5 linked regions of the Mus musculus genome follow. The protein of the gene in region 1 purifies or fractionates together with the protein of each later gene. This does not show direct contact. Links are inferred from orthologs where the notes say so. Each region holds a gene or a part of one and is shown in the gene's direction. Other genes may lie near its edges.

Evidence for each region. The genes of interacting proteins can lie anywhere in the genome.
Region 2: the proteins of Sqstm1 (region 1) and Irf3 purify together in Homo sapiens (affinity purification with western blotting; 4 studies listed by BioGRID). This does not show direct contact. The link is inferred for Mus musculus from reciprocal best matches to the Homo sapiens genes SQSTM1 and IRF3.
Region 3: the proteins of Sqstm1 (region 1) and Ddx58 purify together in Homo sapiens (affinity purification with western blotting; 5 studies listed by BioGRID). This does not show direct contact. The link is inferred for Mus musculus from reciprocal best matches to the Homo sapiens genes SQSTM1 and RIGI.
Region 4: the proteins of Sqstm1 (region 1) and Hdac6 purify together in Homo sapiens (affinity purification with western blotting; 6 studies listed by BioGRID). This does not show direct contact. The link is inferred for Mus musculus from reciprocal best matches to the Homo sapiens genes SQSTM1 and HDAC6.
Region 5: the proteins of Sqstm1 (region 1) and Aim2 purify together in Homo sapiens (affinity purification with western blotting; 3 studies listed by BioGRID and IntAct, with this or other methods). This does not show direct contact. The link is inferred for Mus musculus from reciprocal best matches to the Homo sapiens genes SQSTM1 and AIM2.

What each region holds. Positions count from the first base shown.
Region 1 is NC_000077.6:50,207,584-50,213,182, reverse strand, and holds the start of Sqstm1 (sequestosome-1), read left to right. Parts: upstream 1-2,362; 5' UTR 2,363-2,425; coding exon 2,426-2,630; intron 2,631-5,266; coding exon 5,267-5,362; intron 5,363-5,546; coding exon 5,547-5,599. UniProt on the Homo sapiens protein: Molecular adapter required for selective macroautophagy (aggrephagy) by acting as a bridge between polyubiquitinated proteins and autophagosomes.
Region 2 is NC_000073.6:44,999,718-45,003,847, forward strand, and holds the end of Irf3 (interferon regulatory factor 3), read left to right. Parts: intron 1-174; coding exon 175-346; intron 347-436; coding exon 437-507; intron 508-654; coding exon 655-829; intron 830-927; coding exon 928-1,305; intron 1,306-1,955; coding exon 1,956-2,071; intron 2,072-2,446; coding exon 2,447-2,629; 3' UTR 2,630-3,131; downstream 3,132-4,130. Other genes in the region: Scaf1 (splicing factor, arginine/serine-rich 19), read right to left, coding at 3,463-3,654, 3,780-3,908.
Region 3 is NC_000070.6:40,225,827-40,230,755, reverse strand, and holds part of Ddx58 (antiviral innate immune response receptor RIG-I), read left to right. Parts: intron 1-1,079; coding exon 1,080-1,261; intron 1,262-2,642; coding exon 2,643-2,790; intron 2,791-4,036; coding exon 4,037-4,159; intron 4,160-4,929.
Region 4 is NC_000086.7:7,940,891-7,945,819, reverse strand, and holds part of Hdac6 (histone deacetylase 6), read left to right. Parts: intron 1-1,021; coding exon 1,022-1,106; intron 1,107-1,205; coding exon 1,206-1,246; coding exon of another isoform or gene 1,247-1,250; intron 1,251-2,082; coding exon 2,083-2,179; intron 2,180-2,335; coding exon 2,336-2,433; intron 2,434-3,682; coding exon 3,683-3,787; intron 3,788-3,907; coding exon 3,908-3,976; intron 3,977-4,929.
Region 5 is NC_000067.6:173,461,174-173,466,102, forward strand, and holds the end of Aim2 (interferon-inducible protein AIM2), read left to right. Parts: intron 1-733; coding exon 734-1,147; intron 1,148-1,582; coding exon of another isoform or gene 1,583-1,690; exon of another isoform or gene 1,691-2,679; intron 2,680-2,685; coding exon 2,686-2,874; intron 2,875-3,797; coding exon 3,798-3,845; 3' UTR 3,846-4,867; downstream 4,868-4,929. UniProt on the Homo sapiens protein: Sensor component of the AIM2 inflammasome, which mediates inflammasome activation in response to the presence of double-stranded DNA (dsDNA) in the cytosol, leading to subsequent pyroptosis.

The sequences.
Region 1 (5,599 bases):
AGGGGGTTCCCCAGCCACCGCCTTGTTTACCTCCCTGGTTGGCCTGGGAACTCAGGAGAGAGCCTGAGTCGCTGTAGGCTGTAGGGCATGCTGGCCTGGCCTGGAACCCAGGGCATCTCCCCATTTCTCTTTCTTCCACTGGTGACAGAGTAAAGGATTTCCCCACAGTTCCCCATTGGCTCAGACATTCCATAGGAAGTTTGGTCTGATTGAAGCTTTAAGGCTGTCAGGCCACTAGACTGCTGAGTCACGCTTGGCCAGCAGCTGACATCGGGATACAGCCTTTGCGTCCCCACTGTCCTCTGCATTAGCAGAGGGTCCTGCAGGATCAGGGGCCTTTTCCTGGGCTAGCAACTGTTGGAGAGGAAAGCCTAAAACTGGGATTGTCCTCTGGGGCAATAGGTGTGTACCTTCTAGCCACCAGGGAAATGGCAGTCACACCTGTGTGGCAAATCACTGTCCATTGCTGAGTTTTCCTAAAATTACAGATTTTTCTGCTCTCACAAAACCAATTCTGAGAGAGGTCCAGGGAAGACATGATAACTGGGAGAGGGGCCCTAGGAAGCTGGTGTGGAGACCCTGCCTCAGGGAGACGACTTGAGCTCCAATTCTGCCCTGCATGTCTTCTCCCATGACTTTGACTCAGCAGGTCTAGTCCTATGGAAAGGACCATACCTAGAAGGCCTTACAGGGTGACACCCTTCTCAGCCTCTAGCCTTCCCAGGACTGGGTTCCTGCTAAGAGCTCATTTTACTTTATTCATTTAATTTGTGGTTTGTTTTTATTTTTCCCTGAGACAGGGTTGCTCTGTGTAGCCCTGGCTGTCCTGGAACTCACTCTGTAGACCAGGCTGGCCTTGAACTCAGAAATCCACCTGCCTCTGCCTCCCAAGTTCTGGGGTTAAAGGCATGTGCCACCACTGCCCTGCTTAATTTGTTTTTTTTTTGAGAGTAGGACTTGCTATGCAAGCCTGGCCGAGCCTTGAATTAGAATTCCTCTTGACTCAGCTTCCCAAGGGCTGGGGTTACAGATGTGTGTCATCATGCTAGCTAACAGGTCACTCTGGCCACAGAAAGCAGCATTTCCTGGTTTTGGCGTTTGTATTGGGGGTTGAACCTAAGATGTAACACATACTAGGCAGGTGCTCTGTCACTGAGCTATATCCCTATGCACCAAATTCCCATTAATGATATCTCCCGGGTATATCCCTACTAAGCTAAATCCTCATGACCTGTATCCCTACTAAGCTAAATCTCTATAAGCTGTATCCCTACTAAGCTAAATCTCCTGTATCCTTACTAAACTGTATAGCCAGATTCTTTATTCCCGCCCCCCAGCACCCAGACTTTTTTTCTTTCTTAGAAGCCTCATGCAGCCAAGGCTGGCTTTGAACTCTGGAACCTCTGACCTCCCAAGTACTAGGATCACTTTCTATTTTGAAACAGTTTCACCAAGTTGCTCAAGCAGAATATCTTGAACTTGGTCTTTTCCTGCCTCAGCACCTCAAACAGCTGGAATAACCAACCTGTGGCACAGGACTGGCTATAGCTTGTATTTTGGTTCCTAGATGGAGGGCAGGTGGTCTGATCCCTTTGTGCTTTGAAGCCACTAAGGCCTGAGATACATGTACCTTCCGAGAGAGAGAGAGAGAGAAAGAGAGAGAGAGAGAGAGAGAGAGAGAGAGAGAGAATATGAATGTGTGTGTATGTGTGTGTGTGTCTGGGCTGCAGTGAGGAATCTCTGGTTGCAATGAACAGGTTGTGACTACTGCTGCCTCTGGAGCCCTGGCTACCCCTCTTACAGGGTGGGTTTGTGAGAAGTCACCAGTGCTTGTCCAACACCTCTCAACCTGATCTTTGTTAAATTGGGTGAGGCCTAAGATGGTGGGTGATGTTCCTTTATTCAGTGAGGGGCTGGTCATGGTGGATGCCTGGAAGGGGGTGGGAGTGGGGGCTACTACCGGGGACACTATGTTTAGGAGGGTCGGAATAGCATCCTGTGAGACAGCCTGTTTGGCTAAAAGAATGGCTACCTGACAGTAGACATCTGTGTCCTCCTAGCTTCTGGGCCGTACATCCCCCCTGGCTTGGGGACGACACTGCTGAGTCATAGGCAGGCCCAAGCCTGGGAGGTACCTAGGCTCGATACTTACGGGTCCTTTTCCCAACGACTTGAGGCTGAGGCTGGTCTCTTGTGGTCACCCATGTATTCGGTGGGAAAGAAAAGAGTAGGCAGTGGGGTCGTCTCGACCCCGTACCTTTCAAGGGTCCCATCAAGGGGGCTCCAGCGGCCGCCCCAGCCTAGGGGAGGGGCGGGGCTCATAGAGGCTCCGCCCCCACGAGGCGGGGCTCCCCCGTTTTCTATAAAAGCTGGGCTCTCGGCGCCGCCGCTGCCCAGCTGTTTCGTCCGTACCTAGACCGCGGTTATGGCGTCGTTCACGGTGAAGGCCTATCTTCTGGGCAAGGAGGAGGCGACCCGCGAGATCCGCCGCTTCAGCTTCTGCTTCAGCCCGGAGCCGGAGGCGGAAGCCCAAGCCGCGGCCGGCCCGGGGCCCTGCGAGAGGCTGCTGAGCCGAGTGGCTGTGCTGTTCCCCACGCTGAGGCCTGGCGGCTTCCAGGCGCACTACCGCGGTGAGGGCCTGGGGCGGGGAAGCCAACCTCCCCCGCCAGGGAGTAGTAGGTCTGGGCGAGGACGAGGCGGCGTGTCCTCTGGCTCCCCGCGGGGACAGGGTGGTCAGGCGGCCGCTCAGGTTACATCTAACATCCAGCGGTTCGCTTGCTCCCCGTAACGCCCGGTGGTGGGTTCAGTTAAAGCCCCGGAAGACCTGGGACCAGGCAGACGTGGAGGAGGGGTGGAGAGGAGTGACGCGGATAAATAAGCAGCGGGGGCGGGGTGGGGCAGCCCGTGGGAAGGGAGGTAGGGGACCCCGGAACTAGCTCAGTCTCTTGCGTTGGAGTGGCTGGTGGCTGCATGGGGTGGAGCTAGAGGTTGTTGACAAGAGACGAGTGGACAAGACCCTCCCTGTGGGAGGGAATGGTTTTGCGATCTCTATGGAGGACTGTGGGTAGGCCAGGTTGGTTGGTCAGTCTCTCTCTTTTCTGAAATAAAGCCACGTAGCCTGATTGGCCTGGAATTCACGAGTGGTTTAGGCCGTCCTCAATCACTCCAATCCTCTTGTCTCAATTTTCTAGTGCAGGAATCACAGGGACTACTGGACAGAAAATTTTCAGTGTAACTGCGTTATAACCTAGGACCTGTGCAATTCACCCAGTAAAAGTGTATAACGATTATTCTTTCGTATTAGCAGAGACAGGTCTTACTATATGGCCGGGATGGCCTGTATCTCTAAATTGTCCTTCTGAGTCATCTTTGTGCTAGGCATCCAGTCCAGGGCTTCATGCATGTTAGGCCCTCGAGCAACTGAGCTACCTCCCCAGCTCCTTGCATTTAAAAAAAAAAAATGAGTTGTATAACTATTTTCACATTCGGCTTAGAATCTCTTCATTGTTTTATAAATTTTATTTATATATTACATAAAAATTATATAACAATTATTGTAATAATTATTATTTTATTATATAATTTTTTTCCTGTTTGTCATCTTGTATCCTTTCCAGTTCCAGGCAATGGCTGGTCTACTTTAGTATTCATTTTACTATTAGGAATTAGAACACATTAAAATGGCTTTTTTTTTTTTTTTTGGTTGCTTTTTCAAGACAGGGTTTCTCTAGGTAGCTTTGGCTGGTCTGTAGACCAGGCTGGCACAGTGAATCTTTGTTCATTCACTTATTAATATGTCTAAGGCCCATTTGTATTACAGCTCTCACTAGTACATCTTCCCCCCTCCAGTACTGGGAATTGAACCTAGGGCTTTGCATATGCTAGTCAAGGGCTCTATTTCTGTACATGGGCAGTATTTAATTTCTTTTTGTGTATGAAGAATAGTCTTCTTTGAATATGTCATGTTTAATTTATCTGGTCTGTAGTTTATGGACACTGTTTCTTTTGAGGCAATCTCTCTCATCTCCCTTATGGTAGCTGTTGCTAAATGGTTGCTCAGAGGCTCAGTCCAGCCTGCAGGTGTGTGGTTTTGGCCTGTATAAGGTTTTTGTACTGTATCAGGTTTTATACAGACTATTTGTACTGACATAGAAGCATATGGCTGTGATCCCAGTTATTGTGAGCTAACAAAATGAAGCCAGATGGGTTTGAGAAATCGCTCAATGGTTAAAGCCTTGGCTGCTCTTCTAGAGGACCCAAGTTCTGTCCCTAGCACTCATCACAGCTGCAGGTCCTGGAGACCCAACACCTCTTCTGGCCTTTGTGGCACACACATACACTTAAGTGTGTGTGTGTGTGATGTGTACATACAATATTAAAAAAACAAAACAAAACCTGGAAGCCTGGTTGCATGTTTGTAATCCCAGCACGAAGGCGGCTCATCCACAGGTTGTAGGCTGTCCTGCTCTAAGTAGTGTCAGGCCAGGTAGGGCTACATACTAAGATCCTGCCCCTGAAAGCAGAAAACATAGAATTGACAAAAACAGAACAAACAACAACCTCAGAACAACTTAGATGCCAGGCATGGTGGCTGCACGCCTTTAATCCCAGCACTTGGGAGGCAGAGGCAGGCAGATTTCTGAGTTCGAGGCCAGCCTGGTCTACAAAGTGAGTTCCAGGACAGCCAGGGCTATACAGAGAAACCCTGTCTCAAAAAACAAAACAAAAAAACACCAAAAAACCCAAGAACAACTTAGATGGAGCCTGAATGTAGTGGTTTCTAGCTGTCTAGTTGAAGGGAGGGGACAGATGGACTTACGTCCTTTACTTCTGAAGCCTGAGGCCTTTGAAGGGCTGGGCCATCAGGACTAGGGTGGGATCTCCCAGGTGATGGACCCACACCTGGTTAGGCGTGGCCTGAGGGCACAGGTGGCCCAGTGGTTAGTGGCAGGAAGCTGGACCCTTATACACATATACACATGACATATGTTCTGCCTTCTGCATGTAACTAATCTAGGACCTAGGTTGGAGTACATATTCATGCCGTATCGGAATGAACGGCCATCTTGCTGCTTGGCTCAGCAGCCAGGTTGAGTGTAGAGCCTTAGTAGATGTCCCTTTACCACTGGGCTCTGTACACTGCAGCAGATGCTGGGTGCCTCTGCTGCATTTTAGCCTCTAGTTCTGGGAATGGAACCTAAGGCCTTTGCATGCTCCCGCCGAGCTGTGTCCCTGGCTCTGATGTGTCATTTCTTGAACAATCTAGATGAGGATGGGGACTTGGTTGCCTTTTCCAGTGATGAGGAGCTGACAATGGCTATGTCCTATGTGAAAGATGACATCTTCCGCATCTACATTAAAGGTAAAGGCTGAATCCGGGGCTTCCTTCCTGTGGGGCTTTCCTCGAAGGGTCAGGAGTCGGAGTTGTGATGCCTTGGGGTGGGTGTAGCGGGGCTGGGAGTTGTCAGAGGCACAGAGGTCCTGGCCTCCTAAGCGGTTGTCCTTAGCAACTAAGTTCTGGATGGACTCTTTGACTCTCCCTGCAGAGAAGAAGGAGTGCCGGCGGGAACATCGCCCACCATGTGCTCAGGAGGCACCC
Region 2 (4,130 bases), on another chromosome or scaffold:
ACCCTGCCTCAAAATCAAAACGATTTTTCTTTAGTGTGGAAATAGTGGGAAAGTATGAGAACGGAGGTCCTGGGGGCTCTGTCATGAACCAGAAGTGGATGGTGTGTGGTGGGAGGTGTCAGGGCCTCGGGCCAGAGTCTAAGTCGTCTTGTTGTGGAATCCCTGATATTTCAGGCCTGGGCAGAAGCCAGTGGTGCCTACACCCCGGGGAAGGATAAGCCGGACGTGTCAACCTGGAAGAGGAATTTCCGGTCAGCCCTGAACCGGAAAGAAGTGTTGCGGTTAGCTGCTGACAATAGCAAGGACCCTTATGACCCTCATAAAGTGTATGAGTTTGTGACTCCAGGTGCGTGTGACAAGGCTGGCCTGGGGGTCACAGAAAGCTTGGGATCAGGAGGGTCTCTGCCACCTACACGCTCACTTCCACTCTGGACAGGGGCGCGGGACTTCGTACATCTGGGTGCCTCTCCTGACACCAATGGCAAAAGCAGCCTGCCTCACTCCCAGGTGAGAGGCAGTCGTCCCGTGCCTCAGCCTTCCCCCCCGCCCCCCACCCCCCAGCCCTTCTCCCGGGACCTCCATTCCTCCACCGGTTGGCTGCCCTCCTGACTCAGCTGAAGCTGTTGACCAGCTAACACCCTCCTCCTCCCCCAGGAAAACCTACCGAAGTTATTTGATGGCCTGATCTTGGGGCCCCTCAAAGATGAGGGGTCCTCAGATCTGGCTATTGTTTCTGATCCTTCTCAACAACTGCCAAGCCCCAATGTGAACAACTTCCTAAACCCTGCACCCCAAGAAAATCCACTGAAGCAGCTGCTAGCTGAGGAACGTGAGTGCCAGCTGTGGCGTGGGAAGGGCTGCGGCAGGGACAGCGCTCCTTACCCTGCTCCTCTCCATTTCTCCCCTCTCACTCCACCGGTGGCTCAGAATGGGAGTTCGAGGTGACCGCCTTCTACCGAGGCCGCCAGGTCTTCCAGCAGACACTCTTTTGCCCGGGGGGCCTGCGGCTGGTGGGCAGCACAGCTGACATGACACTGCCCTGGCAGCCAGTCACCCTGCCCGATCCTGAGGGGTTTCTGACGGACAAGCTTGTGAAGGAGTACGTGGGGCAGGTGCTCAAAGGGCTGGGCAATGGGCTGGCACTGTGGCAGGCTGGGCAGTGCCTCTGGGCCCAGCGCCTAGGCCACTCCCACGCCTTCTGGGCTCTGGGGGAGGAGCTGCTTCCAGACAGTGGGCGAGGGCCTGATGGAGAGGTCCACAAGGACAAGGACGGAGCCGTGTTCGACCTCAGGCCCTTCGTGGCAGGTGAGTGAGCACCCTATGGAACTGACAGGCCATGGTGGCTGATTGAATTCAGAGTCTGCTACTAAGTTTTGTGGCAAAAAGCTAGGCCTGTGCCTCCAAGTCCAGGGGCTGGCTGCTTAGACTGTTGAAGCTAATGTAGTACAGGCCATATAAGACACTCTGGTGTGTCCACATCTCATGGTGTATACAGAAACACTGCTGAGGCTGGGAGCTTGCCTCAGTGGATAGTGCCCCAAGATTACGTCCCCTATGGTTGGGATGCCATGTGTCAGCAAGGTAGCCAGTTTGAAGTTGCATTTATATTTGAAACTTTAGTTTTCTGAGGCAGGGTCTTGCTCTTACTGCTTCTGCTAGCCTTGAACTCTCATGCCTCCTGCCACACCCTCAAGGGCTGGCATCGAGTGTCAGTCAGAGAGCGGCATTGGGCCCCAAGCAGCTGAGGAAACATCCCAACAGCCTCCTGAGCTGCGAGCCCACCGTCCTCCTCACTGCCGCTGCTGCAGGAAGGAAGGAGTGGGGAGCACTTGTTTGTGTCTGTAGGGACTTTTCCAGATAGGCAGTGTATAGCAGTGTCAGGGAAGATACAAGTTGAGCTGGTAGACAGGGTAGAAGCCATCCTTTCTTTTCTGACCTAACTCTTGGGTTCCCAGATCTGATTGCCTTCATGGAAGGAAGTGGACACTCCCCACGCTACACTCTGTGGTTCTGCATGGGGGAAATGTGGCCCCAGGACCAGCCATGGGTCAAGAGGCTTGTGATGGTCAAGGTGCCAGCTGTCTCATGCTACTGGGGATGGGAGGGTCCACTTGTGGAGGAACCTGCAGCACCCCGGGACTAGGACCCTCAGAAGCCCCTCTGAGAAATAGCTTACCCAACAGGCCTCTGCAGCCACTGTTACCCTTCCCAGAAGCCTCTGCGTGTCCTCCACAGGACTTATTCAGTATCCTGAGCTTATTGTGACTCTAGACCCTGTAGCTGGTAGCTGCAGGTCTTTGCAGCCTTTGAAGAATGTGGCTCCCAGGGGCTTCCATTAATTAGGTGGGGCGGTCAGAGTTCCTAACAGCCCTAGGCTGAGTGAGGGTCCACCCTGGGTTATGCTGGCAGCCCCTAGCTGACTAGAGATCTGTCCTGCCTCCTTCAGGTTGTTCCTACATGTCTTAAGGAGCTGTTAGAGATGGCCCGGGAAGGGGGAGCCTCTTCACTGAAAACCGTGGACTTGCACATCTCCAACAGCCAGCCTATCTCCCTTACCTCTGACCAGTACAAGGCCTACCTCCAGGACTTGGTGGAGGACATGGACTTCCAGGCCACTGGAAATATCTGAGCCCCACTCAGCTGCTACCAATAAAGCAGTTTATGCCGCCATCACATCTGCTGTCGACTGCGTCTAGGCTGGTGGTTATTCTACAAGGCTCAGTCTTCCCATCTGCAGCTGAGGTCTAGGTGCTCCAGGAGGGAGGCACAGGGACAAAACACAGCATGGCTGCCAAGGTCGTGGAGAAAGTATCACAAAGAAAGCAAGGACAAGACAGGTCCAGAGCTGCACACACATTGTCCCTACGTGGAGCAAGGGACACTGTCACAGGTGGTGATGGTTGGCAACCGGCAAGCTTGCTGTGGGGCGGGCGGGCTGACTCACCACCACGGACTGAGTCACTGCAGCCCCACAGTGCTACTGATACCAGAGGCCACTCGGGTGATGCTCAAGGCTGGACCCTGCCTCCTGTTACCCCCATATCCCCACATTCCTAAGTCTGGTGTGACACCATCATGGTTCCCCACTCACACACCCCAACTCTTTCCTCCTGAAAAAAAGCATTTCATGATTTTTTTTTTTTTTTTTTGGAGACAGGATCTCTGTAGAGCTAGCGGTCTTTGAACTGACAGAGATCCATTTACTTCAAGGGTACACCACTACGCCTGTCTGTACTTCATGAAATCTTTAATGAAATTGGAGGGGGCATGACAGAAGGGCTGGGGCTGTCGGGGGCAGGCTGAAGGGCTAGGTCAACGGGCAGGAACACGGCTGGGTGGGGGGCTCTCCTCTTCCTCACAGCAACCTTCCCCATCATCCCACTGGGGGGGGGGGGGCGTAGTGGGGAAGTGGAGCCATAAATATGTCCAGAATCTCAGAGGCACAGGGACAGGGTAAGGATCTCAGAGAGGGGGCAGGGGCAGGCCTGGGCCACCCTTGTCTGGGGGCCCTGGTTCCTTGGGTGGCCGAGGAGGTCCTGGGGGGTCCCCCGGCTTGCGACCGTGCTTGCGGAAGTAGCGGTAGCGCTGGACGTAGGCCCTCACCAGATTGCTCACCTTGACAGGGTTGATCTCCCCGCTCTTGCTGTGGCAGATCTGCAGAACCAGGAACAACTGAGTCCCTGCAGCCCCAGGGCACCTCAACCCTGACTCAATCTTGGCCAGCCTACACTATCCCCCTCTCCTGGACCCAGGTCCCCAGTCAGTCCCCTTGGCCCCACCTTGTGGACAGCCTTCCTCAGGATGTCCTTGTACTCCTCCTTGGTGATGTCTTTCTTCTGGTAGTATGGCTTGATGGCCAACTTCACCTCCTCTACTGCCCGCTCCTGTGTGTGGAGCTTCTTCAGGTACTGGTGGGTGAGACAAGGACAGTCAAGACCAAACAAGTGCAGCCCCCCTTACCCTGGCCTGCAGTTACCCCAGGCTAGTAGACACTTATAGGCTAGACCCTGTGGCACCCTGGCCTACCCAGGCCCAGCATTCTGCTGGGAGACAAACCAGTCAAACACTATACTGTTCTTTTATGCAATGCTGGGATTGAAGCTGAGGGCTTGTCTTTTTTGTACAGTATC
Region 3 (4,929 bases), on another chromosome or scaffold:
TTAATCTTTTCTTGGAATGGTGTGGAAGGAAACACTTTTCAAGGGCAGGATGTAAGATTTGTATTTCCTCTGGTCTTCTTTACTGTTTCCTCTTGAGAAGATAAACATGATGAATTTGACTAATTTAAAAGTAAATTGAGATGACAAAGAGATGGCTCTGTGATTAAGAGCACTTGCTGATCTTGCAGAGGACCCAGGTTTGGTTCCTAGACTTACATGGTAGCTCACAACCATCTGTAACTTCAGTTCCAGGAATCTGACCCTCTCTTCTGCTCTCCAAAGATACCAGACACACTCACGATACACAGACACATGCAAAGTAAAATAGAAATAAATATTAAAAAAAAATATATTGTGGGTTGTTGTTAAAGTGCGTGAGGGGCATTTTGAAGATTTTATTCTAAGGTCAAATACAAGGCCTCATATCTGTCCTTAGGACTTGACCCTGAAAGATAATGAATTTTAGGAGACCTAAACTGTTGGGTACCAAAAATGAGTATTACTCCCATTTTGGAAAATCATGAATAGCTGTATTAGTTGACTTTAACTACTGTGAGTAAATGCCCGAGGAAATAAAAAGCAGAAAAATGAGAGCCAAGAGGATCTGTAGCTTCTGCACCCGTGCGTGGTGAGGCAGGGCACCATGGCGGGAGCATGTGGGAAAAGCCGCACTTTCTGGTAGACAGGTGGCAAAGGGTGCCGGGCAGGGGCCCTGGACAAGATGCATTCTTCAAAGCACATCTCCAGTGACTCACTTCTCCCAGAGAGGGTACAGTTCTCAGTTGCTCCTTCTGTATGAACTCAATGTGCTGCCAGTGGTGACGCCAGGACTCGAAGGATGTGGTCACCAGGTCCCGCAGGGTGTGGTCACCTCTAAAGACTGTCACCAGCTGGTGTCCAAGCCTGCAACCTGTCAGCCTCATGGTCTGGCTCCCCAGACTGTCCAGTGACTGAGGCCATTTGCAGATGGTTTTCAGTTCCCTTGCCACTGATTTGAACAGGATTCCCATGATTTTGACTTCAAAGCATTTTTATGTTGGATTTGCTTAAGAAATCCCCATTTCTCTTTTCTTTTTCAGGTTACTGTGGACTTTGTGAAGCCATCGAAAGTTGGGACTTTCAAAAAATTGAAAAGTTAGAGGAACACAGATTACTTTTAAGACGTTTAGAACCAGAATTTAAGGCCACAGTTGATCCAAATGATATCCTTTCTGAACTATCCGAATGTTTGATTAATCAGGAATGTGAAGAAATCAGACAGGTAAACCAATGCCAGGTACTAAATTTGAAGAAAAATGCAGAGACATTGGAAATGCCCATTTTTCTGTCTTGTTTTAGGCCCAAGGATAATTGAAACCCATAAAAGCTCTCATCTAGCAGATATAATGACTAGAATAGAATTTTTAAAGTGAATGGGGTAATTTTTGTGCTAGACTATTAGAAAATTATTTAACCTATTTGCAGTTAAAGTTGCCCCCTTACTTTAAAAAAAATAGTGGTTTATGCATAATGCAAATCACACCAAACAGTGCAACAATTAAAAGGAAAAATATGTCAGGCTCTTGGGCATAGATACATTTATTACAGTCTCGCAGTCACTTAACTAGTGATGTGATGCCAGGCAGTTCTCTAAGCATCTGTGGGGTTTTTGTTGTTGTTGTTGTTGTTGTTTGTTTGTTTGTTTTTCATGTCTAAAGTAAGAAAATTTATCTTTTGTTTTTTGTTTTTTTGTTTTTTTAGATTTCTTTATTTTATTTTATTATATGTGAGTACACTGTAGCTGTCTTCAGACACTCCAGAAGAGGGCGTCAGATCTTGTTACGGATGGTTGTGAGCCACTATGTGGTTGCTGGGATTTGAACTCAGGACCTTCGGAAGAACAGTCGGTGCTCTCAACCCCTGAGCCATCTCTCCAGCCCCCTTTTGTTTTTGTTTTTGTTTTTGTTTTTGTTTTTTTGTTTGTTTGGTTTTTTTGTCGTTGTTGTTGTTTGTTTGTTTTGTTTTTTCGAGATAGGGTTTCTCTGTGTAGCCCTGGCTGTCCTGGAACTCACTCTGTAGACCAGGCTGGCCTTGAACTCAGAAATCCGCCTGCCTCTGCCTCCCGAGTACTGGGATTAAAGGCATGCACCACCACGCCCGACGAAAATGTACCTTATTAGCACTCTTTTAGGGCTAAATGAGAGGTCATGCACAAAATGTGTATGTCAGCTTGATGCATAGCAGTCTATGCACAATGCATTTCAGTTATCATTAGAAAGAAAAGTCATAGAACATCTGCTTAGAAAAGAGACCTGCTGCTGTGCTGTTAGGCATTTCCAAATGGCTCTGTGTGCCGATACATCCTTAGGGTGAATGGTTAGCGTCTGGGTTAACGCTTTTACCCCAGGATTGCTCTTGGTCAGGGATATAAGGATTCAGAAGATGAGAACATTTGCCTTGGCATATTGATAACACATTATAAAGGACAAAGGTGAAGAAAGGAATATCTTAAAAGCTAGTGCTGGACAGGGCAAAAAGATGATGCTAACTAAGCCCTACTCAACTATACTTCACAGTGATTTCAATCAGATACCGCTTCCACAAAAGCTTGCCAGAGGAAAGGCTGAGCTGCCTGATCAGTGTGCTGCATTTGTCTCCCCCAGATCCGAGACACTAAAGGGAGAATGGCAGGTGCGGAGAAGATGGCCGAATGTCTTATCAGATCCGACAAGGAAAACTGGCCAAAGGTCTTGCAACTTGCTTTGGAGAAAGACAACAGCAAGTTTAGTGAATTGTGGATTGTTGATAAAGGTGGGGTGCTCCAAGAAAGAACCCTGGACCCTGCTGCGCTCCTCCCAGTTCTCCCCACTTTACTTTCCATCAGAGGCGCTGTTCACTTCAGATACCAAAGGCTATATCCCTAGGATACAAGCAGTGGAAAGCTGAATTCTGGGAGGAAGGGAACTACATGGCATGGAATTAACCCGACCAGGTCAAAGAATCTAGGGAAGGCTTCCAGCCCCAATTTGTTATCAGAGAAATAGCTTGAGAATTCTAGACCTAAAGGTTCAAACTGCAAGACTTACCTCCCTATCAGAGCAGAGGCTGAGTGTTGGGGGTGATAGCTATGGACTGGTGCTCTTGCCCGGAAGCCATCTGGACTCCGACAGAGCAAGAGTAAACGAAGATTTTCTGTGTTTAAGCCAACCTCATTTGGCTTCCGGAAACTCACTTCTTGCTTTAAACAGACCTTGATAAATACCTGAGTTTCTAGTTTCCTTTCTCACCTAGATTTCCTTAGAACATAAATTATTCCAGAAACTCTCTACATCGTTGGTCAGAGATGGAATCCTGTCTCTTTAGTGTGCTCAGGAATGACGCCCCTGCGTTATTGGCGTGAGTTCCGGAGTGGGGAGGGGCTCCGGATGCAAACTGCTGAGAGCCCCGGGTTCCACACTTGGAGTCGCGTAGTTCCAGATGAAACTGGAATTCAATTGCCAAGTTGAGCTTCAAACTCAGAATAATCCTTGCAGTTGTTTTAAGCCGTCAAAGTGGGGCTCTCTAGATGGCTCAGTGGATAAGGTTCCTGCCACTGATCCTGAAGACCCAAATTCAACGTCCAGGGCCTACATGATAGAACCAATCCCCAAACAGTGTCCTCATCCCTCGGCACACTCACTGTGTCGTGTGTGACACACACAGTAAACAAATCCATTTCAAAAATAAATAAAATGTTAAGAAAGTGCAAGACCGTGATTGTAAGAGCTCAACGGAAATTTAGATGTTTAGTGTTAGTGTTAGGACTTTTTGGGACTTCCCCAACCAAAACCATAATCACATTGCGCATGCTTTTAATCCCAGCACTCAGGAGGCAGAGGCAGGTGGATTTCTGAGTTCGAGGCCAGCCTGGTCTACAGAGTGAGTTCCAGGACAGCCAGGGCTATACAGAGAAACCCTGCCTCGACCACCACCCCCTTCCAAAAAAAAAAAAAAAAGATTCTAAGCTGTAAGCTGTTATTTGTGTTTATGATTGTTTGCTTGCCTGTTTATCACAAAGGTTTCAAAAGGGCTGAAAGCAAGGCTGATGAGGATGATGGAGCGGAGGCGTCCAGCATCCAGATTTTCATTCAGGAAGAGCCAGAGTGTCAGAATCTCAGTCAGAATCCCGGGCCTCCTTCAGGTACCAAGCATCGTTTGCTCTCATCCATGATGGTGTCCCCCAGCACTTTGATGCCCTTTGAAAAAAAGTCTTTTTAAAGGATGATTAAGAAAAGAAAGAATTTGTGGGGCAATAGGGACTTCATAATTAGAATCCCTGCTCCTGTCTTCCATGGCCTCTGCATGGCCTTCAACCCTCCCCCTCCTCTCCCCTCCCCTCCCCCTCCCTCCAGTATGTATGCCTTCATCTGTACCGTGTTCCCAGAACTTCAGTGTCCATGACTTCTCAAAGCAGCCTTGCTCTCTAAAGAACACTTCTGCTCACTAAGCAATGGCTTTGAGAATCTGGGCTGACAGCTGGTTTTCCTCGGCTGTTTTTGATGATCTGTTCTTACTTTGTTCCAAGTGGCTTTGTTTTGAATTAGGCCATTCTTGCTGTCCTTTTTCTTGATAAAGTTTCCACGATTAAGAAAGAATTCATGGGGCTGGAGAGATAGATGGTTCAGCGTTTAAGAGCACCGACTGTTCTTTCAGAGATCCCGAGTTCAATTCCTAGCAACCACATAGTGACTCCAGCGTCTGGGTTAATGTTTTTACCCCATCTGTAATGGGCTCTGGTGTACTCTTCTGGTGTGTCAGAGGACAGCGACAATGTGTATATTCATATACATTAAATAATAAATAAATCTTCAAAGAGAAAAGAAGGAAGGAAGAAGTAACAGAGAGAGAGAGAGAGAGAGAGAGAGAGAGAGAGAGAGAGAGAGAGAGAGAGAGAACACACTTTGGCCAAGA
Region 4 (4,929 bases), on another chromosome or scaffold:
CGTCTTTCAGTGTGCCAGTCACCCTCTCGCCTTGGGTCTTTACCCTTGACTGATTCCTCTTTGAACTTTCACAACTATGGAGACTCACAGAAGCCTTTGACTGGCCACTACCTCTCTCACATCTGTTCTTAGCTATTTTACTAGCCTCTGCCATTGTCTGTTAATCATTACACTGATATTTGCAAATATAGTAGCCGTCTTCCCCCATCCCGACCTAAAACTAACTCATGATGTCAAGAGGCTTTCTTTATGGTACATTTGTTGAGGCTATAGCCGTAAACAAAGCTGCCTTCAAAAGTAACCAAGAGGTGACCTCTCCAGTGTTAGAGTGGAGGAGCTCAGGTGGGAGGGAGAGTGAGGTTTGACTGGAAGGGGTGCTTCCCTTTGGAATACAATAGCTAGGGGGTATTGCTAACATTTGAGCAAAGATACAGAGGGTTGGAGGAGGCTAAAGGACTGAGCCGTGAGTCATCACTGAAAAGACTTCCAGGCGTGAGAGACCGTTGAAGTCCTCAGGCCTAGCTGAAGACAATGTGGTTTCGTTGAAGAGCAAGGAACACATTGCAGGGAAACAAGGTGAAAGAGGAGGGGTGTGGTAAGAAAGACAGAGTCAGAATAGGGATGGGAACAGATTCGGGTTTTCTTAGGCCCTTCTCGGTGTGATGAGAAGTTTGGCTTCTACCGGGAACATAGTCGGAGCTACAAAAGGGTTTTGAGTAGTAGAATTCTAACCACTGGCTGGCTCAGTATACAGGAGGGGCTGTTGGGGGAATAAGTATAGAAGCAGAGAGGGGTTCTCATAAAGATGATGGAGCAGACAGCTCAGACTGGAGGTTCCAACAGCGTGAATGGTAGCGGAGAAAACAAGTATAAAGACTTCAGAAATGACAAAGAAAGGCTGATGTTGCCGGTAAGGGGTGAGCAGCTATGGGGGTGAGGGGCGGAGATGGGACAAGAGCAGACATGCTCCCTAGCACTTTTGCCTATCTGTGTGTATGCGTGATTCCATCCACTCCTGCAGCTTCCCTGAAAGCCCTGAGCGGCTCCATGCCATCAGAGAGCAACTGATCCTGGAGGGCCTCCTGGGCCGCTGTGTGTCCTTTCAGGTGACTCCTCCACAGCCTTCGGATGGTGGGTGCGGGCCTGCGAGGACCTAGGCCTGGCCTGGCTTCTAGCCCCCCTTTTTTTTCCTTGTGCCTCCCCAGGCCCGGTTCGCTGAGAAGGAGGAGCTGATGTTGGTTCACAGGTGAAAACTTAGGAGCTTGGTAGGGTGGGGAGGAGGATACCCAGGCTCAACCAGGACAGACTGAAGGAATCCCATAGACTCTGTGGCCAGCCTTGGGCACGTCCCTGAGCCTCTCTGAATATGTTATTGCTTTAAACAAAAAACAAAAAACAAAAACAAAAAAAAAACACAAACCCCTAAGTTCCAGACAAGTATGATGGTACATGTCATCACTTGGGACATGAAGACAAGCGAATCAGGAAATCAAGACAGCCTCAGCGACATAGCAGGTTTAACTTGGGTTTATGAGACCCTGTCTGAAAAAGCCAATCCCGAAAGAAAAAGAAATCTTAAGTCCTTCAGGAGGGTCAGTGTGTGTATCAGGTACCTGACAGCATCTTAAGCCTGTGAAGGGCTCGTGTTATTATAATCTGGTTCGTTAACTGATGGCAGATACTTGCCAGAATGATCAGAATGAGTCCTGGGGGAGTCTAGAAACTCAAAGGAAGAGGCCTGGTACAATGTGGCTCACAGAATAACTAGCCTCGCAGAGAGAATATCTGAGCTGAGTTCCAAGAGGCAAAAAGGTGGGTGAGTCCAGCAAAGAGAAGGGCAGAGGAAAGGGAGAATCAACAGAACTCTTAACTATCTAGTCAGAGGCCTAGAATTTCAAGTTAATGGCTGTCTCGAGGAACTAAATATATAACTAGAGATGGGAGAGGCTAGAGAAGAAAAAGGGACTACAGCCTGCACCCCAGCTGAACCCCCTAGGTTGACTATGGAGGCCCGACTTAATGCGAGGTCTGTCTGCGGAGGGACCAGGGCTGTAAAATCTTTCCTCTATCTTGTGTCCCCAGCCTGGAATACATTGATCTGATGGAGACAACCCAGTACATGAATGAAGGGGAGCTTCGAGTACTGGCAGAAACCTATGATTCAGTGTATCTGCATCCGGTATGGATGAGAACTGTGGGGTCAGGGTGTGGCAGCAAGTCTTGGGTGTCTACCGTATCCATGCCAACCTCACTGTGGGAATGAAGAGCTAAATAGTTAGGGCCATGCTTTCTCTCTCTCTCTAACTCTTTCTCTCTGGTTTTCCACGGTCCCCAGAACTCATATTCCTGTGCCTGCCTGGCTACAGGCTCTGTCCTCCGGCTGGTAGATGCACTCATGGGGGCTGAGATTCGGAATGGCATGGCCGTCATCAGGTAGGACTCTGAAGCGTTGGGCATCTTACATTTTTTTAAAAAGCATTTCCACATAGTGGTGCGTGGAGGTGCATGTCTGTAATACCAGTACTTATGAGATGGATGTTAAAGGAATGCTCGGGGGGTTCAGGGCTAGCCTCAGCTATATAAATTTGAGGCGAGCCTGGGCTATCTAAGACACCTTCTCAAAAAAAAAAAAAAAGCCCTACAAATGTGAAATGTGTTAACTCAGGTACCCTGTCTTCAAGTGGTTGAAGAGTCAAGTGGTACAAAAAGGGGGTTCAATAAAATTCTCTCTCCTCTTTGTTGATGGACCCCTGAAAGGTGCTCATTGTCACCAGTAACTTCCGTGTCCTTCCACAGATGGTTTTACTCAGTTAGTAAGTAATAAGTATCCCAGTTCATGGCTTCAGGGACATGTATTTCTTTTCTATCTGGAACATCTTGAAATTCAGATGCAGCGAACAGTGCGTGACATCTCAAGCCTCAGCCTGTGCCTTTCACTGTTTCATTGTTGCCCATGGAAGGTCAGAACATTGGGCCACAGCTGACTTCCTAGAACTGATAAAAATGCAGAAGATAGCCTTTGTCCTCCTCAGCCCCTTTTTGTAAGCACATGACAGCACTCCTTTCCGTACCGTGCATTTAAAAAAAAAAAAACCCTTGGACATCTTTATCTTTGAAAGCTGTCTCTTAACAGTATATGGGTTACACTCGTGTGAGATGCCATTGTGCAAGCATACTTTTAAGCTAGTCACCCCCTTGCTGGTGGGAATTTTGGTTCTCTTCAGGCTTTGATAGCATACACCAGTGGTACATTTCTAAAGATAGCACTTTTTATTATATAGGTCTCAGCTAAGCCTATGTAGCAAAATGACTGGGTATTAAAGAGTATGCTTTCATACTCTTATGGATAGCTTAATTGATTTTTATTTTTTGAGACTGGAGCTTGCTATACATTCTAGGCAGGCCTTGAACTATCGATCCTCCTGCTTCAAATTCTTTCTGAGTGTTAGTATTGCGGGCATGTGCCACAATAGCAAATATGGGTGAGGGTACCTTTGGATGGTTATGTTTAAATCTCCTTGGTTGAGAGAGTGTTGGCTTGGGGGCAGTGAAGCTTCAAAAGCCACAGTTACTCAGTTGCTGGCAGACTTATAGAATCTCTCTAGGAAGAATTGGGAACACAGGAGAGTCCACCTCTGGAGAGGAAGACTCCCAAACCTGTAGCTTTCCCTTTCCTGCTTAGGCCTCCTGGACACCATGCTCAGCACAATCTTATGGATGGGTATTGCATGTTCAACCATCTGGCTGTGGCTGCCCGCTATGCGCAAAAGAAGCACCGCATTCAGAGGTTGGTAGCCAGTGACAGACGGAACGTGGGTAGCATGGAATAGGGGGTGCTGTGGTCTAGGTTGTTCCTCTGTGTTTCACTTAGCCCCCTGCACAGAGCTCCCCTCTCTCCTGCTCACAGGGTTCTCATCGTGGACTGGGATGTGCACCATGGTCAAGGAACACAGTTCATCTTCGACCAGGACCCCAGGTACATCCCATGTCTCACCCTAAGTACTGGATTCTTAACCATCAGGCCCAGCCACAGGGGCTAGGAAGCCATTTACATTCAGTTGTCCTGGAACCAGGAAGTGGATGCTTTTCCTTGTTGTCTACTGTCTCCTAATTTCACTCTAAAGCGGAAACTGTGGCCTTCCCATTTCACACATGGTCAAACAACCTTACAGGTTCCAGTGTCAGGCAGAGAAGTGAAAGATGTGGGGTTTGACTTAGTGTTGGAGAGCTTGTTCAGCAATTTACCCCTGAGCTGGAAGGGACCTCAGATTAGTGCTTTGTCTTTTTCAATTATGACAACATTTCAAACTATTCTGAAAAATTAGTCGGGTGGCAAGGTGGCTCAGCAGGTTAAAGTTCTTGCCTGACAACTAGAGTTTGATCCCCAGGACCCACATGGTGGAATGAGAGAGAAGAAACTCCTGCAGGTTGTCTTCTGACCTCCACATATACATACCATAGCATGCACGTATCCCCTCATCTGTAAAGAGTTGGGCATGCTGGAGCATATACCTTTAATCCCAGAACTTGAGAGGCCAAGGCAGATGGATTCCTGTGACAAGGCCAGCCTGCTCTATGGATTGAGATAACGGGCCCTACACAGAGAAACCCTGTCTCAAAGAACAAGCAAACAAAAAAGGCTGTAGAGTATTTCCTTGCATTCCTCCTGAACACTAGCCATGCACATGGTGCAGACATATAGAGAGGCAAAATAGCATAGACATAAATTTTTTAAAAAATTAAAAAGAAACTTATTTGTAAAAAGCCATGTAGAAGCCAGGCTTGGTGGCGCACGCCTTTAATCCCAGCACTTGGGAGGCAGAGGCAGGCGGATTTCTGAGTTCAAGGCCAGTCTGGTCTACAAAGTGAGTTCCAGGACAGCCAGGGCTATACAGAGAAACCCTGTCTCAAAAAAGCAAAAAAAAAAAA
Region 5 (4,929 bases), on another chromosome or scaffold:
ATAACTATAAATAATAAGATGTAATTTATGTAAGCCTTAATATATATGCTTCTAAAACATACACATGCGTGGGCAAACACACATACATGCACATTCCTGTACACAGACACACTATCTCCTATTGCTCTTAATTTCTTAATCTGGAAGAACAAAATGGCAAGATGAGAATTTATTCATTCCAAGAATAATTCATTCTTCTAAGAGTAATCTTACCAAGGTAGAGTTGACTCTAATTTTTAATCTCCTTTTAATTCATCTGTAGGATCTCATCCCGAGATCTCTTCCTTTCCTCACATTGAATGATCTGCATTTCTATTATGCACAGGAATATTCCTGGGAATGTGCAGGAGCTCTGCGCACATCACTGAGCTTCCTCACTCTGATGCAAGAGTCAATTACATGCTCAGAGTTGGAGGGGAAAATATGCTGTAGTAGAATTACAAGAAGACAGAGTCAGATTCAGCCCCTTGCAGTGTTTCAGGATTCTGACACACACTTTTCATAGCAAAGAAGGATTCTGATTCAGGAATTTTGTCTCCAGAGTCAGTAAAACTGCCCCGTCTGAACATAGAACACAAAATATCCCTTAGATAATTTTAGGTCTCCAATCTCTTCCTAACGTTATCTCCATTTTCCCTTCAATTCAGCTTCTTTCTTCCTGGGGTTTTACTGTGAATGAAGGCTGCTTGGGTAAGTGTGGACCCTAGCTAACATCTTTTCTCTCTTGTCACAGCCTCAGAAGAAACAGATGGTGGCAGAACAGGAAGCCATCAGAGAAGATTTACAGAAAGATCCACTTGTTGTCACGGTGCTGAAAGCTATAAATCCCTTTGAGTGTGAGACTCAGGAAGGAAGACAAGAGATATTTCATGCAACAGTGGCCACGGAGACAGATTTTTTCTTTGTAAAAGTTTTAAACGCACAGTTTAAAGATAAATTTATCCCAAAGAGGACAATTAAAATATCAAACTACCTTTGGCACAGTAACTTCATGGAGGTCACCAGTTCCTCAGTTGTGGTTGATGTTGAATCTAACCACGAAGTCCCAAATAACGTTGTTAAGAGAGCCAGGGAAACTCCCAGGATTAGTAAACTGAAGATTCAGCCATGTGGAACAATTGTGAATGGGCTGTTTAAAGTCCAGAAGGTAAGTTCCTATACGCAATTTTATATTGATCAGTAAGAATAATATAAAATATAACACCTATTCTAAGCCTTAATGGGACTTTAGAAAATACATTTCAATGTTTTTTACTCTATTAAATCTGAAACAATTAAAATAAATTTAAAAATTGATTTTAAATCATTTTAACAATTAAAAAAGAATTTTACAGAGTTCAGGATTTGTAGGATGATAATTTACCAAGACAAAGCTCACCAAGTTTTATTTTGTATTTTTGATTGTTTTGCTGTTTGAGACAGGGTCTTACTGTGTGGCTTTGTCTTATGTGGCATGCACTGATATTCGCTGCCCCTACCTCTTGAGTGCTGGGATCCAAGTGCATGTCACCACACACAGCGAAGGAAGGTTTGATTTTGAAACTCTGATTTTGAAATTTCTTTTTTTTTTTCCGCCTTGTAGCTTCTGAAGCATAGACACAGGCATCTTCACCTCTGTGTTGCTTTTATGCACTTAGATACTAGCCATATTCAAAGTCACTGTTGGGTTGAGCACTCTGCAGAGGACTGATGTACAGGTATGGTTTGAAGACAGAGAGAGAGAGAGAGAGACAGAGGAGAGGGAGAGAGAGAGAGAGAGAGAGCCTGACTTGAGCTTCTAAAACATCAAGGCCCACCCCCAATGACATTTCCTCCAACAAAGCCACTCCTACTTCAACAAGAGGCCACATATCTTAATCCTTTTGCATACTGCCACTCCCTGTGATCCTGTGGGGACCATTTTCATTCAAACCAGAAATCAGGTTAAAAAAAAATATATATTAGTCTTGTACGAACAGTTTTCTGGCCTAAGAGCGACCCTGAAGAACCACAGGAAACGTGTTGATTTCTGAACTTGTAGCCAGGATGGCCTCTCTCGTCTTTTCAGAAAGGAGGCAGGAGGGAAATGTCTTCCTTGGAAAATTAAAGCATAAAAAACACTCATCCCCTCTCAGTTCTGAGCCTTCCGTTTGATCAATTACCCACTAATGTTTTCTCATTTAGTGAATAAAACTAACATTGAAATATTGATATTTTACATCCCTGACTAGAATCTGGTCTCCTTCTAATCTGGACTTGACTGTGAATGATATTTCATTCATGGTTGACTTTTTACTTTTAAATTTCTTCACTAGGTCTTTTATTTTTGGTTCATGGGTTTCTGTTACTTGTTTCCTTAAGTGACTCTCCTCCTAACCAGGAGGTGCTCCTTTCCCATGACTGCCCCCTGCATGCTGGCCCTGGAGAAGCCCCACCTTCCCTGTCTACCCGTTGTTTCTGTGAGTTATTCTGGCCTCCCAAAAGAAAAAAACCTTGGGACTAGGAAGATGGACACAAGAGGCAACATGCTTTTAATATAATCCTCCTACCCCTTCCACTGAGATTTGCTAGAATCTGTTGGGTAGAAGTTTGGAATTATTTATTATATTATTTTGGAAAGCTGCTCCTAGCTTGTCTGATAACTGATTGATATGCTGCTCTTTCTTAGTCATCTAGCAGGACTTGACTCATATTTTCCTTTCACAGATAACAGAGGAAAAAGATAGAGTACTGTATGGTATACATGATAAAACAGGGACAATGGAGGTGTTGGTGCTGGGAAACCCAAGCAAAACAAAGTGCGAGGAAGGAGACAAGATTAGACTCACGTTCTTTGAGGTGTCAAAAAATGGAGTGAAAATTCAGTTGAAATCTGGACCTTGTAGCTTTTTTAAGGTATGGAAATTCTCAGAAGAGGATGTTGTTTTGTGTTTTCTATTGGAAATCCAATGAACAGGATGGCAGAGAAGAGCTTAATATGTATGCCTTTGCATCTCACAGACCTGAGAAGCCTGTCATTCAAAAATACATAACCCAGATACACAATTCAAAGCTGTGGATTTCCCAAGGAAAACACACATATGCGTGTGCATGTACACACACATACACATACACACACACACATACACACACACACACACAAACACATACACACATGCACACACAAAATCTCACTCTCCTTCTTTTCTTCTTCTTCTTCTTCTTCTTCTTCTTCTTCTTCTTCTTCTTCTTCTTCTTCTTCTTCTTCTTCTTCTTCTTCTTCTTCTTCTTCTTCTTCTTCTTCTTCTTCTTCCTTCTCCTCCTCCTCCTCCTCTCAAAGAACTTTCCACAATGAATTTATTGAATACAGTCTAAATCTAATGAAGGCAGCTTTCTCAAAGTTGCACACATCATTCTGGCAAATGCAGTTAAAAGTCAAGTCAGACTATAACACCCTGACAACAAACATCTGAGCCAGGGCAATCATCTTCACATCTGTCATAGTCCAAAGCAGTTAAGTCAGCTATCACATCCCCGTGCTGATGATCCCACTGATTCTGCTTTCCTCTCTTCCTCACCACTCAACTGTATATATAGAGTTATTAGATGGGGACCTGAGAAGTCTTCATATTTGTCCTTCTTGTGTAGGAGTGTGTGTGTGTTCAGGGCAGATATAGTTCAGGAGAGTTGTCCAAGAGTGACAGAATTAAGAGGAAATATGTGTTAGGTGAGGAGATTTGATGAGAAGAAAGGAATTTTCAGGAGAACACAGTAAGTGAAAGTAGAGGAGAATTAATTAATCAACAATATTTCAGTCTTCATCTTCCTTTCCTACCCAGGTTATTAAGGCTGCAAAGCCAAAAACTGACATGAAAAGTGTGGAGTGAAGTCACCTCATTTGAAAAACCTTTTCCTGAAGAATCCTGATGCTGCTCCTTGAACTAGACTGAACTACCTGAGGATAGCATTTTACAACCTCATCATCATATTGTATTACTTAGAAAAGGACAAATACTCAAAAAACATCTGAAAAATATATGTAAACTTATTATTAATTAAGTTATTAAGACTGCCCAACCTGGGGATCCATCCTATATACAACCACCAAACCCAGACACTATTGCATATGCCAGCAAGATTTTGCTGACAGGATCCTGATATAGCTCTCTCTTGTGAGGCTCTGCCAGTGACTGACAAGTACAGAAGCAGATGCTCACAGTCATCTATTGGATGGAACACAGGGCCCCTAATAAAGGAGCTAGAGAAAGTACCCAAGCAGCAAGTGGTCTGCAACGCTATAGGAGGAACAACAACATGAACTAACCAGTACCCCCCAGAACTGTGTCTCCAGTTGCATATGTAGCAGAAGATGGCCTGGCCGGTCATCAATGGGAGGAGAGGCCCTTGGTCTTGCAAAGATCATATGCCCCAGTACAGGGGAATGCCAGGGCCAGGCAGCAGGAGTGGATGTGGGTGGGTTGGGGAGTGTGTGTGGGGGGTGTTATAGGGGACTTTCGGGATAGCATTTGAAATGTAAATGAAGAAAATATCTAATAAAATTGTTGCTTTGTCTAAGGTTTGAGATATCATTCTTCTCTACATAGACACTGAGGGTATAAGTATGGCGGGATTGCAGATGTGACAGCAGGGCCTTGTCGGAGAGACGCCTGTGGGTGATAGAGAAGATTGGTGATATATAATTTTTTAATTTAAAAATTTTAAATTTCCTTTTGGGGAGGAGGTTACAGGTGGAGGAGGGTGGGTATGATAGTACTAAGAAATCAGTGATATTGGGGTATGTGATGTGAAATTCCCTAGCACTCAATAAAAGAATTATGTTTTTAAAAAGAAAGATTGTTGATAAATAAATAAATATGATTTTACTCATGATTCAGAAAGTTAGAAAAAAGTTTGTGACTGTTCTATTTTTATTACTTATTCCATTTTTGATATCATAATACAATGATACTA